2 linked regions of the Drosophila melanogaster genome follow. The protein of the gene in region 1 interacts with the protein of each later gene in a pairwise test. Each region holds a gene or a part of one and is shown in the gene's direction. Other genes may lie near its edges.

Region 1 (8,657 bases):
AACGGCCGAGCGCGACGACTTTAGAATCTCAACTGAATTCTCGAGTTAAAAACACAATACCGCCATAATAATCTCCCGCTGAATTGATCGGATAACCCATGGTTCAGCATCCTGATAAACCTGCTGTGCCAGTGACGTTCCATCCATGACTGGAGGCCCTAATCAAGGCCACGTTTTAGGGTCACAGCACGTTTCTTATCTGGGTTCGGAGGCGTGGCAAGTAGTAAAATTAGTTAGCAGCTACGTAGGTCAAAAAACAATTTAATCTGAGCAAATTTTTAGTTTCAATAAAGATGCGGTTTAACAGATGCTTCTTGCTAATATGTTGTGGTTTCAATTAATCCATTCATATAAATAGATTTATTAAACTCTTGCTTTTCTTTTAAAAGCACTTAAAGAAAACGTAAATTCTATAGATTAAACAAAGTGTTGCCTACATATATGTACATATATTTTCGAGTATTTTCATTTCCCGCAGAAAATTTGAAAAGTCAAAATCGTTCTCGGAACTTAAAACTCCCCACATAAGCAATGAAATTTTGGACCCATACTCAAATGCCAACCATCGCGGCGACCCCAAACAGGATACGCAGTTGAACCCCAGGATTATAATCTCTTCCGATCTGCCATTAATGCCTATCTCCAAATGCACTGCGAGATCGAATACCAGGTGGTGCCATCTGGAGCCGGAGTCTTGGCACGCTTCGCACTCGCCCGTCGCACATCCTTACGGCACAACATCCCCACTCCAACGCCCGTAGTGAACCGGATAAACCGAGCGTTTCATTTTGAATTTTCCCGCAGACCGACGGAGGAACACTGTGTGGCCAATGTGGTGGCAGCCAGAAGGCAAACAACCGAGAAAGAGACCGCCGATCGCACCATGTGTCCGGATTCCTCCGCCAATTGGGACTGTTTGCGGAGCAGGCACGCCCACCAGAGGTGCCAGAAATAGACGGAATCTGGAGAGCTGCAAACTGCGGAGCAGAATGCTCAAAAAGGAGGATCTCCCCGTAACCCGTGACAGAAGTGCTCTACGTGCCACGCAGATCGGACGTATTCGACTCACAGATTGGTTTCGGTTCGGTGCGTTTCGATTTTAAGTGAGAAAACTGAGTGATTGGAATTTTATATCCAATTTGAAAATATTCGAAGTGATTCTTGTGATACCACCAACTTGTTTTTGAACAATGCCACGCAAGAAGCGCAGTTCCAGCCCCACGGAGTTCTTTGATGACGACTTCGATGAGGATGCCAGTTCTCAAAGTGAGTTCGATTTCAATTTATAGGTGATTTTGTACTTATATTAAAAAGATGTATTATAAACGCTTAAAAACGTTGACAATGTAAATATGTTTAGCTAGTTTTGTAAATTTATTATTTACTTTAAAGTAAAATTCAATTTCCTTAGAATTTTTTAAATCGAACTTTAGAATTTACCTTAAAAGGAATGTTAATTTAAAATGCGTTAAGCTCTAAATGAAAATATAATAATAATGATAAAAATTATAATAACAGAAAGCACAATAGATATAAATTGAGTTTAAAATTCATACTCCATATGCTTTTTGAACTTCATACTTTGCGAAGATATCTATAATGTAACTTAAAACTTTTGTGGATACCAATAAAACCTTTTGTTTCTAATTAATCTCTTGTTATTGGAGCTCCTTAAGATGTATCTACATTTCTGATTTTCCAGGCTCCCAACCGCCGGTGCAGCGAAATGCGGCAAATGCCCGGGAGCGGATGCGTATGCGGGTTTTATCCAGCGCCTACGGACGTTTGAAGACCAAGCTGCCCAACATTCCGCCGGACACGAAGCTCTCCAAGTTGGACACGTTGCGTTTGGCCACGCTCTACATCAAGCAGCTAATTACGGCTGTGGAGACAGGCAGCCACTCGCAGAACCACCCGCACAACCACAACCAGCACCACAGCCTCAACCACAGTCACTCGAGTACCACCAGTTCCGAAGGCCTGGACACAAGTCACATGGCAGATTCGTCCGGTGGAGGCAATTATAATTTCCACAACAACGGACACGGCATGGTAAGTGTCATGCAATTGCGATCCCCCTGCCCGAATATAAGTGATGTCACTGCCACCACTTAACGATGCACTGCACCCGCGGCTCGGGGGAACGGGAACGCATTAATGAGCCGGCCACTTCAGGTGGATCTCGTCAGTTAATGACAGGTGTCGCAGGGGATGCCCAGTGATATGCCCAAGATCAATGTTTATTCATGGATTTCAGTCTAATTGAGAAGTAATGTTCAGCCGATCGGGATTCCCATAAGTTTATGTCTTTTTATGGAAAGTTTGGTATTGGGAATGAAAATTTTTCTTTTATGCGTTTTCTTTGAAAAGCCATTAAGGAAATAAAGTAGGTAGATATTTGTAAATTTTGCTAGTTGAAATTAGCCTTTCGTAGAATTTTAACTTAGAGATCGTGGAAAGTTACACGGAAACCCAGGCTTCAGTGTTTAAAATTTAAAAAATTGATACTATTACAATTTAAACGTATACGCAATCTATTATTCTCATTTTTTTTTTAACAAGCAACTTAAGTATTTAGTAATACTACTCAACTTATAGGGGTAATTCAACGCAATTTTAGCGAAATATAGATCAAAAATCCAAAGGAATGTGGTGCAACATCTGCTTGGTGATGCGGACGCGATGCGGCGACAAGTATTTCCACCTTTTCTAGATGTGGAGGTGAACCACAAACGTAACCACATCCACATCCCATGACCGGAGTCAGCCATTCAGCCGGGCCCCCCACTAGAACACCGAAATCACATTTTGTGATTTCAGACTGCCTTGCTTTCCTGTAATCCGATACTTTTGTGAATTTCGAAAATATTAAATATGAGTGACAGGCTGTTGGTGGAGCGGGCAGGGAACGGAGATGGTAACGCAGACCTGCGGATCTGGATGGGGGGCACTAGTTAGTCTTTGCTTTTATTTTTTATTTTTAAAGATGCTCTTGATGCTTTGAAGCGACACAGTGAATGACATGCGAGGGAAAGTGTCATCCTCAGTAGTTTTCCCACTCGGATTATTGTAATTAAAATTTGTCTAACCGTGTTTATCCATCAGCCATTCCCGCTGGAGTTTACACAATCTATCACTCAAGATTCATGGCGTGCACAACTTATCTAAATAGATGCAATTGTTTACACACCGAATGCGTGAAAAATTCAGCAAATACGGCTCCGTCTTGTGCCCATATGGTGGCAAATCAGATCGGATCGGAGAGTCCCGACCCTATCCGAATTTATACCATCCACGCGCCCAAGATGATCTGTTGGGAACAACCCATTGGTTCGCTATTTGCTCGCTAGCCCTAGCATCCCTATATCCCATTTCCAATCCCTCATTGTATGGCATACAAATGAGTGTCTCTTGTCCGCAAGTGTTTGGCTGTTTATGTTTTTATAGATCCGTTAATGAGGCTGTTATTGTAGATCTAGACGTGGAGGCGGGGGTGGGCACTAAAAACAATCAAAGTTGCGTAAACAAACAATGGCGCTGTCTCGGGATGGGTTGTCGTCATATTGTTCCATATATAGCCCCTGCGGTTTCCACAACTCCTATGATTTATGCCTGTTTTATCCACACATTCCACATTATACTGTCTTGCAGAGCTGGCCCTTTGAGTTCCACCAGAGTAGCCGGAGTTTGGCATTTGCCCCATCATCATCAACCACCTCATCCGCCCGTATGGATTGGCAAACCCTGCATACGCAATCTTATCCGAAGACTACGCGAGGCGAAACCCATGTTTCGGCGGATCTAAGTTACCATCAGTTGCCGGAATCTCACAGTCACTGGTATCCGGCGGAAGTGCATCAAATGGAGCCAGCGGCCAGCTGTTCCTATGACTCTGGAATGGGGCAGCATCAGCGGGGCATAGCTATAGCCACTAGCCATGCCCATGGCATTTAAGCGGATATTATAAATAATGTTCTGACCTAAGCCAAATGAATTTACCACCTAGTAAGTGTATTAAATCGTGATTTAATTTTACGTGTTTCCGTATGTGCAAGCCTGAACCTATGCTATAAGGCCAAAGATTGGTGTTACCTCATGATCATTTAGCTAGCAAATATATCTATGTTTTTAATAAAATTGGAATTTTTGAATTTTTTTGAATTGGCGCCAAGATTATGGTGACTGTATCCCTGGAGTTGTCGAGTGCTGCCGTACTTGTTTGTATTTTGCAGCCCTGTTCAACAGCTGATTTCGTCACAATACAAACAAAGAGCTGCTAAAAACAAAATTAATCTATTAATTAAGGCGGAATTCAAATACCCTACTTTTTTTAAAACGGCTAATTTGAGACATTTTAAAGATGTTATTTATGCAGAAAGATGTAGTGAATTTGCATTATTCACTTGCAAACAAATTATACGAACAAAGAAGCTTATGAAAGCAATCTTATTTAAATTAGAAACAAACTGAAAGAAAACGCCCAAGTACTTTTTACATGCAGTGTATTTATTTTGTGTATTTACTCATAAATGTAGCCCAACAACAATGGCGTGAGAATAATGGTTGTGCTACAGACTATTTCAACACAAAAGCGAACTTATTACATGTGTATTTTCGCGGTTAAAGTTCACGTCGTTCGAGAGCTGGCATCGATGATTAGATTCGGAATAGCTGGATCAGATCAGCAGTCCATAATCTCAATCTCCTCCACTGGATTTCCTCCACCAGCACTTGAGTGACCGACTGACTGACCACTGAGCGCAATTCGCCTTTCCAGCAACAATCAGTCAGTACGCGATATTCAACGAAGACGGACGCTTTGCGGTGGCTCGTTAATCCATAACCTGTTTACGTGACTTGAATACTGTGCCGCATAGCAAAATGCCAGCCAAACCAGTGAATCCCGATCTCCAGAAGGAACGCAGCACGGCCACCTTCAATCCCCGGGAGTTCTCCGTTCTGTGGGCCGGCGGCGAGGAGCGATTCAAGGAGAAGAAGGCCCTGGGTGAGTTAGCTTAGAAGGGAAAAACACCGGATTTCAAGCTTCTCCGGTGACCCCGACAGACCTACATGTACATTCACATTAACCGGTCGCTCAGAGCTTTATCTGAGCTTGGCGCAATCGCGTTTCCCAACAGTGGATGCAAGAAATTGTGCCAAAAGCATGACTTGGCAATTAAGCTAGGCTTTAACGCATTTATAGCTAATCTGTAGGGTACAAACTCTGATGCTAGCCATGTCAGCCACTGATAAATTATCCAAAACATCCTGTCAACTTCTTTGTTTTGATACGCTTCTTCTCCGTCCATTCATTCATGCGATTTGTTGATTTTGCTGCACGCCGTGGCCCAAAGTTCATTAATTATGTATTCCGCATAAACAAGCCGCTACTAGTTAATCAGCACCTATTAGCCAGCTCATAAGTTATTAATCTTTGAACTTCGCGCGAATCGCGATCAATCCGACTACTTGTGTACTTTGAATGTTTGCAGCTACCCACCATCTATTTCCAGGTCCACTTGAAATTAGTTTAGCTGATAGGTTTATCTGACAGATTTGCACGGTCGCTCAGGGCATCATAAATGGACAATGCCCAGTAACTCCCGCGAATTAACGAAGAATACTTTCCACTCATGATTACGCTGCAAAATTCAACAATGCTTATCTAAATGACACCTCCTAAAATATTAAATCCCTTTCCTTATGGCTTCATTTACATTAAATTTCGTTTATGATTTTTCCAGAGAAATTGTTTTTGGAGGATCCAGCCCTTCAGGACGACTTGCCCATTTCCTATTTGTCACACAAGGAGCTCTATGAGCACAGCTTGCGCAAAGCCTGCATCATAGGAGAGAAGATCCGCAAGCTACGTGCTGATGGCGAGGATGGAGTGGATACTTACAAGTAAAGAAATCCTTATATTTAATGTACTTCAGGTTGTAATTTGTGTGCTTATAGTGCTCTGCTTGGTGGATCCTTGGGATCGGCTATTCTAAAGGAGGGCAATCCGCTTGCGCTGCACTACGTGATGTTCGTGCCCACCATCATGGGCCAGGGAACGATGGATCAGCAGGTGGAATGGCTGAGCAAGGCCTGGGACTGTGAAATCATTGGCACCTATGCCCAAACGGAACTGGGACACGGAACCTTCCTGCGCGGTCTGGAGACCAGGGCTGACTACGATGCCAGCACCCAGGAGTTTGTTATAAACACTCCATCACTCAGTGCATACAAGTGGTGGCCCGGTGGATGTGAGTTTTCTTGAACACTTAATATTTTGAAATTGTTATAAAATCTGGGACTTGCAGTGGGACACACTGCTAACCATGCGGTTGTGGTGGCACAACTCTACACCAAGGGCGAGTTCCGTGGTCTGGCTCCTTTTATTGTCCAATTGAGGGATTCCGATACTCACCGTCCCATGCCCGGCATCGACATTGGAGATATTGGTACCAAGCTGGGCATGAAGGGTGTCAACAATGGCTATTTGGGACTGAAGAACGTACGGGTGCCTTTAAACAACATGCTGATGAAGAACCAGCAAGTGCTGCCCGATGGCACATATGTGGCGCCGAAGAATAGCGTGCTTACCTACGGAACTATGGTACTATTACACATATTCACTATATCTTCACAGAGATTTTAACCATTTTTTCATTCAAGATGTTTGTGCGTTGTGCTCTTATCCGTGATACCGCTCAGAGCCTGGCAAAGGCATCCACTATTGCCACTAGGTATTCAGCTGTTCGCCGACAGAGTCCCATTGATCCCAATCAACCGGAGCCCCAAATCATGGACCATACCACGCAGCAGTTGAAGTTGTTCCCCCAGATAGCTAAAGCCATCGTTTTCAAAACGACGGGTGATGGCATCTGGAATATGTACAACGTGATATCTGGCGAGATTGAGCAGGGTAACTTGGATCGCCTGCCCGAAATGCATGCATTGTCCTGCTGCCTTAAGGCCATCTGTAGTGCCGATGCCGCCGCCGGCGTGGAAACGTGTCGTCTGTCATGTGGCGGACATGGCTACATGGACTGCTCCAACTTCCCCACGATATACGGCATGACCACGGCCGTTTGCACCTATGAGGGCGAGAACACAGTGATGCTGCTGCAGACTGCTCGCTATTTGGTGAAGGTTTATGGGCAGGCCTTGAATGGAGAGAAGCTGGTGCCAACGGTTTCGTACATCAGTGATGCAATAAACCAAACCAAGTTTGTTAACTTTGACGGATCATTGAGGTCTATTGTCAAGGCTTTCCAATTCGTTGCCGCCAAGTAAGTATTTACTAAAGAAAAAAAGGTAGAAGTACCAAGTATTTAAATTCATATTTTTATATCAGCAAAACCCGAATTGCCTATGAGCAGATTGAACTGCGCCGCAAGCAAGGTTATGGTACCGAGGTGGCAGCTAATCTATGTGGCACCTTCCTAACAGCAGCTGCAGATGTAAGTCGTAATGAAATATCTGTTATTCACTCAGTATCCTATATAATTTTGTACCACTTGTAGCTTCATGGACGCGCCTTCCTAGCGCAGACTGCCTATACGGAGCTTTTGGCCTTGTCGCGCGAGGTGTCCCCAGAACTAGCTGAAGTCCTAAAGGTGGTGCTGGAGCTGTATCTGGTAGACGCCTGCCTCAACCGCATTGGCGACTTCTTGCGGGTACGATTTTAAATTGATATTAGTTAAGAATATTTAATGTTATATGTAACTTTCAACAGTTCATTGATCTCACTGATCAAGATGTCACGAAACTGGAGGTTCGCCTGGAGAACTGCTTAAAACGATTCCGGCCGAATGCCGTCAGCTTGGTGGACAGCTTTGATCTTCACGATCGCGTGCTAGATTCCGCATTGGGTGCCTATGATGGAAATGTTTACGAACACATCTTCGAGTCTACGAAGAAGAACCCGTTGAACAAGGAGCCAGTCAACGGAGCATTCCACAAGTACTTGAAGCCATTCATGAAGGCTCACCTCTAGATTCATATCCTATTGCTCTGGAAGATTTTCACAAGTGTTATTATTGTAAATATACATTTGTTTCCATTGTTTTTGTATTATACAACTGTCTGCTTAGCAAATGGTCTTTAAGACAATTATGATGTCAGGGCTTGTGCAGTTGAAACTAGGCTGTAAAATTATACACAAATAAAATATTCAACTATATTTAAAGGCAGTATTTAGTGTGTGTTTGGGCTTAACTAAATCGCTTTATTAAAGTTTGTTTTCTGATGGTGTTGCAAGATAGAGAGTAGCTCACTTATTGACTTCGTACAATGATGAACGCACTTACGACGCACTTGCCTTCGAGTTACGTTGTGCGTAAAGACGTCTCAGTAATCGGTTGCCAGCCAGGAATGTGAATACTGCGATGGGAATCAGCAGGCGCAGTGTCTGGAACATGTTAAGCTGCAGCCAGAACACGAAGAACAGCACCAGAATGCCACCGAAACCCAGATGAAACCCGATCGTACTCGGTGCCAGCGTCAGGTTAGATACATTGATGCCCAGTTTTCCCCAAAAAACGAAAAGCAGCACAAGCGGGGTTATGCACAGTCCGGTGAAGATATCAGAAACAATGCGGGGCGGGCGCTTATCGGGCACTCGGAACTGATGGATGATTTCGGGCAGGGGACCAGAAGTGTTCTTA
Region 2 (7,876 bases), on another chromosome or scaffold:
GAGGCAGCTCGATTTGGTGGGTGCGGGTGCAGTTGCTTAAGCTCCAAATACCCCGGCACTGCAGCACCCACCCAATCCTCGAGAATTTCTTAATGGTCAGATGGTTGGTTGGCTGGCTGGGCGTCTCGTTACGTGACCAGTTGGAAAAAATGCAACAAAATGTTTTCTTTTTTAACTGCGAAAGCGAAAATCGAAAGTGCCAAGTGGCAGATTGTCGGATTGCCGGTCGGCTCCTTGGATTGAAGCCATCTACTCCTCCTTCTTTTGATCGCCAGTGGCTGGTCAATTGCCGCATTGCATCATCTTTCTCATGGCGTATCTCGAATGGTCGTCTGGCGGGCTGTAAATACCAAATATAATTGTTTAACTGTCCATAAAATTGAAGAAGCATAAAAGGAGACCCTTTTCTGCGTCTGCCAACCAGCGTCCATTGAACTTGGCGCAGAGTGAGTGGGTCTGATGGGCTCCAAAAACGCCTCAAAGACATATCTTTGAGCTGCCTCAGACGAAACAAAATTTCACACCAATGTGGCAGAAAGTATCTGCTGAATTGGTGGATGCCCGCGACTACCTGACAGTGTCCCATCCATCAATCGGTGGAAAAAGATTGCGCCACAGGTCAGCAGGTGTTTGAGTTGTTTGGGGGTGGAACTCATAGGCGTAGAGCCAGATGATCTGCGGTTTGTTTTCCTCGAGAACTACCAGTTGAGACATCAGAAAGGTGTGGGAAAATGAAGGCGAATTGCATCAAGGAAGCTGCATGGTTAGATCAGGGATAATTGGCGTGGGAAATTAAGGTATTACTATTATAACATATATATTGAATGGGCATATAGGAAACGATCCTTACACTACTTATATTCGAGTATATTATCTTAAGGGTATTACCATCCAATTTATGTATACTACTGATTACTATTGTATAATTACCCAAGTATCTAGAGCAAAATTGTTAGTGAGCGGGTTTCCTAATCATTTCGCTTAAACACCAGTCAAATACGGCACGAAACCGAAACTCTCTATTATATCGGCAGTTCCCTTTCGCCACATTTCGCCACATTCCTGACCATTAACTGCATTTGGTTGGCCACAAAATCTGTCGCCATAAACCGAATGAACGTAAGTCTCGATGGAGCAAACTTGATTTATGAGCGATTGCAGTTGCAGATACGTATATATTTCGCTATCGCCGCACTCTCACTCTCGGCTGGTCCATTTGGAAAATGGCATGTCAACGGAAATTGCTTAATCATTTCCACGCATATCATGTACACCTCGTATACATATGACTAATGCCATCTGTCTGTGCTCTTCCTTTCCGCGCAGGTAAGTTTTACTGCTATCGTTTTTGGGCCATAGGCAGTTAAAGGAAATCATTGCGTAAGTCAATAAAAAACGGAGTTGATTTGTTTACTTAGGACTTCCCCCCCGGGGGAGGAGTTGCGTAATCCCCGGTTCCTGCGAGGAAGTGGCTCGTAAAAAGGGAGCCATTAGCATGTGCAGTCTGAAAAGCGAGGCGCATAATGGATTTTCCAATCAATGCAGCCCATAATTATGCTCACCAATGAAGTTATTGGCTCATTTGGTCAGGCGGCTAGCGAAATAAGTGGAAAATGAACTGAACGGAGATACACTCCACTCCTTGATTATCGTGGCCATCATACGAACATATCTCCTTCACCACCACTGCTACCTGACCCCTTGTCGCGCCTAACGATCTTTAACCTGACCAACAACGATCCCATCCCGGCCATCTCGGCCCAGACAGTCTGCCAGTCTTTTGTTGTTTATTGATCGTCGTGTTGCACAGCATTCAAACGTGCGTCGAGTGAATTTGTGTCTTTGTATCTTTGCATCGCAGTACCTTTGTATCTGGCGAATGCATTTCGTTGTATCTCAAGTGTATGGGATTGTTTGTACCAATGTTTGTCCGGCTCATTTGCAAAATCTGCTGGGTAATCAGACACCGGCTAGGGATGTCAATTAGCTTATGTTGCTGCTGCTGCGGCTGCTGTTTTGCCAAGTGCGTGACCATTGAACCTGCATTTCCCATTTCCCATTTCCCTGCTGCTTTAAGTGAAAGTGAAAATGCCAGTCGTTCGTTGAACTTGCTGGGAACTTGGCATAAGCAAAGCTCTGCCGACCCTCAGAACTAATTGAAGATTTCATAACTCAGCATTTATGGCCCTTTGCAATCTCAGTGTCAGACTCTAGGAGTCTAAAGCAGACAATTTATGATACAAATTAAATGCATGAAAATTATGATGAATGCGAGGCGAAATTTATGCTGATGACATACCCAACAAAAGAGCGCCAATCCGCCCAGACTCCTACGGCTTCACAAGCTCCTTCTACCTCGCCTGCTCCTGCTCCTGCTCCTCCTCGTCCGCTTCCTGGAGGGCAGCTCCAATCAAGAGCCAGACGATCCACAGACAACAAATCGCCGAGTCAAGGAGTTTGCGGCCCAAGTCGTTTCTGTGTTCATGGATACACGCAAAAAACGATGTGTTACATAGTAAAATCTTTGGAAATATGTATATTATTATGTAGCTCGTTCTTAATAACTAAGATATTTGAATTTACTACACTTATTCGTGCCACTTTCTCTAAGTGTAAGTCTGGATCTGGTCCTAAGTTCCATTGCCTCCCGCCCCTTCCTTTATGGTTTTTTGAGCAGCTGCATGAGGGGCGGGGAGTACAACGAGGTGGACTCCTTGTGGCTGTGGCTGCCTGCCTCTAGCCGAAAGTTGTTGCGTATTTAAAATGGAAATTGCAAGTTTTTCGCTGAGCGTTCCCAATGTCTTTTCCCTGTCTCTCTTGCTCGCTCGTCGACGCTTTTGTTTCACTTTCGTTTGCTGATTGCAGGTTTTTTGTCTTAGCTCATTTTGATTTTATTTCTCCCGTCTTATTCGGTGCATTTATCACGGTGCCACACATTTGTGCCACAAGATGCCAGAGAATCGGGCGGGCATGGCCAATGAAATTGGCCGCAAGTTTCCTTTTCATTTTCATTTTTTTTGCAAATTGAATGCTGCTTTTCAAGCCGATTTCAAGGGTGAACGATTATTGGCCAAGACACCACACTCCTTTCGCCATGATATTTGAGTGAAATTTCTTCATGCAGATCCATCTGCAGTTTTGTCATCTCTCGCTGGCAGGTTATGAAATATTTCGCAACTTTTGCTGCGAAAAATTTCCTGTTTTTCTTCATTTCACTTACGCACTTCTCTCCTTTGGCGGAGTTCGGTGGGTTTCTCGGCCGATTGGTATTAATTATTATTATGGTCTCGTTTTTGTTTCGCCTTACGGATTTCTGCAGCTTTTATTTTTAATGCCCAGCGAACCTGTTGCAATGCGTTCCACAAGCTGAGATATGCGCCTGGGTGTGGAGAGATGAATAGTTATGAGGTTTTAGGTTTGGCTAGCCAATCTTGGTTTTCCAAAGGGTGCCTGACACTATATATTTAGTTTTATTTACTATCATAAAAGTACGAATGATCCACTTCTATCCCATGACCAACTCACGTATGTTCGCCCCATGCTATTCATCCCTTAGTCTTTTCACCCATTAAAACCATTTAGCATTCATTAAGCCCAATTTCTGCCCCATCCATGGTGCTCGGAATAATCAACAAATTAACTAAATTCCTAGTGGGCGCCTCCATCCCCAGAATAATCCAAATTCCGAAGTTGTGACATCAAGAAATGTCGAAGCGATTTCAAGTGCAGCCCCGGGGAATCTTGGGAACATATTCGAACATTCCCAATCGTCCGCAACCTGTTTGATCCGTTGGTTATCAAAGATATTTCCAAACATGTTCGAAGCGAACCTCATGATGAGGTTGCATGGAATCCATAAGATACAATCCACAAGCTGCTTTGCAGCTACAGCCCAGCGGAATTTCAATTCAGTTCGCGCTCAACTCACAGACACGATGGTCATTCAAACGCGTTAACGAATAATAATTTAAAATAATATTCAAATGATAAATACACTAAAATATGCACTAAACCACGCACTAAACCTAAATCCACGAACTGTACATATTTGTGTAAATAAATAAAGTATAAACAAACAGCGAAGAGAAACCTCGAAATACCAATAGACCGCTCAAGTTCCCATACATTGAGCTGGCCAATCGTGTTTGAAATTATTTGTTTGATCGATTTTGTGCGGTGTGAACACCTTGTAAAGGCATTTGCAAACCTATTGCCATAGCAAGCAAAGTGTGTTAAGCTGGGAAACACCCTCTGAAAAGTTTATGTACTACCCCCTTCGATCGGTCGAATAATAACTACCACAAGACAAGCATTAAGTTTGTGTTTACGTGCTGCTGACTAATTGCGTTTATATAGCCCGACTATATAAAACTGTACAATAAGACACGGCCAACTGTTTTAGTTTGAACGCCTCAGTTAAAGCTGCAAATTGCTTCGCTACCAAGTGAAGTTCTACATTTTCGCAGCGAAAACGTTTTTCAATTGATTTTCATTAAGTGAAAAAATCCCGAGATTGTCTTCTTTTCGGTTTCCAATTGATCGCAATTGCACCAGACCCATAAAACATATATACAAAGTGAGGCTGCATTCCAAGTAGAGCAAGACAGTAACCACTTCATCATCACAACATCAGATGCTGCATAATTAGCATTCGTTGCGTGGAGCGTCGAAAAAAAAAGCGGAAAATGTATCTCATACAGGTGAGGCCAAGCGATACAATGGATCCCCCTCTCACGATTAAGTGTTTGCTCTTACTTATCACATGCTGGCGGCACTGCACTTGCCGACTGAAAAAGATCTTCATTTAAGCGTTTTTTAATTGTCCGCCAGCTGAGATTTTCAGCATTTACAATTCTCCCCTCCGTTTGAAATGACTGTGAGAGGCACGCATCTCTGGCGTATATAATTTGTTTAATTTGTAGCTAATTTATCTTTCCACTTGGCAGCGGGCAGATCGGATGTCGAGCAAATGGGGGGGGGTTCACTGGAGCAGGTGCCTCATTACTGAACTTTGAACTTGAAACGGTGTTACGATTTACAGCTGGTAATGGATTACGGTTAGGCATCGGGGTTCGGGTTAGCAGAACAAATGTGCAGGCCTGAGATTATGAAGGGAACTCAAATATTTTGACATAACCATTAATCATTTGTAAATGATATACATTCAATCGATTGCTTTTGAGTTATCTGTCAGCATTGCCCTAAATTATTTAGAGATTTATTCCGAGTTTATATCAAAATTTGTGGAATAAGTATGTCAGAACAACCGACACAACATAAATCCGACGATCGCTTCACTATCCTGCAAACCTTATCGGATGTAGTGGACTCTGGTCTCAGCAAGGAAGCCCTTAAAATCTGCATCGAACTGGTGGACAATGGTGTCTGTGGTGGAGCACTAGCACATGTAATTCGAACCATTAGAGAGGAGATTCAAGATGATGAAGATAAGGAAAGTGATGATTCCGGAGAATCGGCTGCATCAACAGACTCAACTTTGTAGGAAATGAATATAAAATATATTTTTGTGTTTATATTTTGTGTTTGTTAAATTAAAAGTTCAACTTTCCGATGGTCTGTTTCCGAAATTTGTAAGACGCTGGTTCTTGGACATCCAATTGCATGATTTTTGAAGGCTTTCAAGAAGACTTCGCCACTCTATTTGCATTCATCAAACGCAAGCGACTGGCGTTTCTGAAAACGGTATATGTGCCGGCCATGATAATGAAAAGTTGCACCACTTTGGCTTGATAGTAGGTCTAAGATGATAATGTGTTTAGATAAAAGCTTATAGCAAACCGAAGCAACAAACGACTCACCTGTCTTATATAGATGGGCAATGGAATGTGCGATCGATGAACATGGTAATCCATTCCTCTGAACAGCCAATAGCCCGGCCACGCCCCCAAACTGGCGAAAAGAAATGGTGCTGCAGTACTGTAGGCCTTTTCAAAGGATTGCGAATGCACCAGTAAACGTATCTCCTCGCCAAGATTATGCATCCGAGGTGGGTGGGCTATTGCCTTGGCTGGTTCCTCCTCCTTTCGCTTAAGCCTCGTCGAGAACTTCTCCTTCAGATTGCCGTAATAATTTTGGATGCCCATCTTGGAAAGGTTTAATTTTCGACCGAAAGTTGTGTATTGTGTGTGTGTGTAAAGTTTGGACAGAAACATATATCAAGGCTTACCTGAACTAAGAGGAGTCTCCGATGTCAGCTGTTTCTTCCTGATTATTGTGCACTGTATGCATTTCTATTGGTATGCCGGCAGGTCGACCCATTGATATCGTGAACAGACCAGTGGCTAAGATAGCCAACTGCATTAGCTTGGCCTGTTGATAGGTCTGAAATGAATAGTTTTCAATAGGTTAGACTGCACGGGGTAGACTGCTATATTTCAAACCCTTTGAATGTAAAATGCGATTCTCTCCGTTTTTCGTGCGGACTGCCAGTTGTAGCCGCGCCAAATCCAAAACGCTGGCCAGGACAAAAAGCTGACCTCCAGATAGGGCAATATATCAATTATCTTCTTCGATAGACCCTGAGGTGCGTTGCGATCTACGAAGTCAACAAACTCTAGCTCGTAGTTTAAAGCTGGAGCCGTTTGTTCCCTAAACTTTTGCAACTTGACATCTGGGGTTGGAATATCACCAGAGGTTAGGGGTTCAGTGGTATCAGGTGCAGTTCGATCAGAGTCCGGCTTCCCAGTTTCCTGGCTCGAAGCTTCTGGTATTTGGTTTGCAGTGGTTTGGGTTTCTTGTGCATTCTCTACATTCTTAGGACTGTATACCACCGCTGCAATGGGGGAAGTAAAGTTATGAAACAGCTCTGAGATCTTCTGGAGCAGCGAATCCATGCTGAAAAGCTGAACTTTTTGACTATTAATTTTCAATTTTCCCAAAGGTGCCAAAGCAAACAAGAATAGCTTGCTGGGTTTTTGGTTTCGTTTGAAAAGTTCAAAGACTCGAGGCAATTGCATAAATTATCGCCTTAACTCGTTCGTTCATGCGGGCTTACATTTGTTTTAAACTAATTTACCCTATTCATTTTTCTATTTTCTGTCTTTTTATTTTGGGGGCCCACAGAAGCCGCAGAACAAGCTTCATTATTGCCGGACTGCGGGTGCCCAAGATTGGGGTTCTATAGTACGAGTACGAGTATAGTCTATATGGTGTATGGTGTACAGTGTGGTGCCGAAGTGGGTCAGTTGGTGCAGCGGTTCATGCAATTATAAAGCGCATATCTACAGGTTGCATACCAGATACCTCCACTTCCACTTCCAGCTCGACTTCGACTTGGGTCCATTGTGTGGCAGTGGCCAACTGCTAACGGCTCGGACTACGGCAGGTGTCTCATCAGTTCATTGTGTGTTTTTAGTCTTTCCACTGGGTCTTGTGTTTTTCGGTTGAAAATGTGGCTTACCTTCGGCGACAGCATGGAGTTGTATGGCTTTTGCCGGGACAAAGACGCACCTAATGAAGTGAAAATCTTTGGTTCTATTGTGATAGTTCTTTGATTAGCGGACTTCGTTTGGAATATTCTTAAGCCACTCCTGATGGTTCATCGATCATGTGGAAAGTTGACATCTAACACTCTAACAGTTCTCTGCATCTGCGGATGAATTGAGAAGACTTAGAATTGATCCACTTGCCCACTTATTTACCTGAGAGTATCAGCATTACCATTTTAAAGCCATTATCTCTCCCCGTTTCCAGCATCTTCAGACCAAACTACTCAAGCGTTGAGCCTGAATGGGGCTTTCATTCAAGACGCTTTGAAACCACAAATTGCATTTCTACGACTTCACACAGATCGATTCCGAAACTCTCCGTCTCTCAGTATTCTATCCACATTTCTCTGAAACTGCGGCCTACACAC

What was found. The genes of interacting proteins can lie anywhere in the genome.
Region 2: the proteins of ACOX1 (region 1) and Svil interact in a two-hybrid assay, tested with the Drosophila melanogaster proteins (one large-scale study listed by BioGRID).

What each region holds. Positions count from the first base shown.
Region 1 is NT_033778.4:17,756,385-17,765,041, forward strand, and holds ACOX1 (acyl-CoA oxidase 1), read left to right. Parts: upstream 1-4,555; 5' UTR 4,556-4,881; coding exon 4,882-5,005; intron 5,006-5,744; coding exon 5,745-5,904; intron 5,905-5,958; coding exon 5,959-6,251; intron 6,252-6,308; coding exon 6,309-6,604; intron 6,605-6,663; coding exon 6,664-7,280; intron 7,281-7,345; coding exon 7,346-7,451; intron 7,452-7,514; coding exon 7,515-7,667; intron 7,668-7,726; coding exon 7,727-7,987; 3' UTR 7,988-8,157; downstream 8,158-8,657. Other genes in the region: HLH54F, read left to right, coding at 1,191-1,266, 1,703-2,052, 3,652-3,954; OstDelta (oligosaccharide transferase delta subunit), read right to left, coding at 8,297-8,657. UniProt on the Drosophila melanogaster protein: Catalyzes the desaturation of acyl-CoAs to 2-trans-enoyl-CoAs. First enzyme of the fatty acid beta-oxidation pathway.
Region 2 is NT_037436.4:2,384,082-2,391,957, forward strand, and holds the start of Svil (supervillin), read left to right. Parts: upstream 1-3,910; 5' UTR 3,911-4,685; coding exon 4,686-4,700; intron 4,701-5,183; exon of another isoform or gene 5,184-5,254; coding exon of another isoform or gene 5,255-5,503; exon of another isoform or gene 5,504-5,639; coding exon of another isoform or gene 5,640-5,759; intron 5,760-5,819; coding exon of another isoform or gene 5,820-6,104; exon of another isoform or gene 6,105-6,153; intron 6,154-6,187; exon of another isoform or gene 6,188-6,192; coding exon of another isoform or gene 6,193-6,342; intron 6,343-6,401; coding exon of another isoform or gene 6,402-6,854; exon of another isoform or gene 6,855-6,908; intron 6,909-7,876. Other genes in the region: Mzt1 (mitotic spindle organizing protein 1), read left to right, coding at 5,255-5,503; CG32299 (uncharacterized protein), read right to left, coding at 5,640-5,759, 5,820-6,104; CG32298 (uncharacterized protein), read right to left, coding at 6,193-6,342, 6,402-6,854.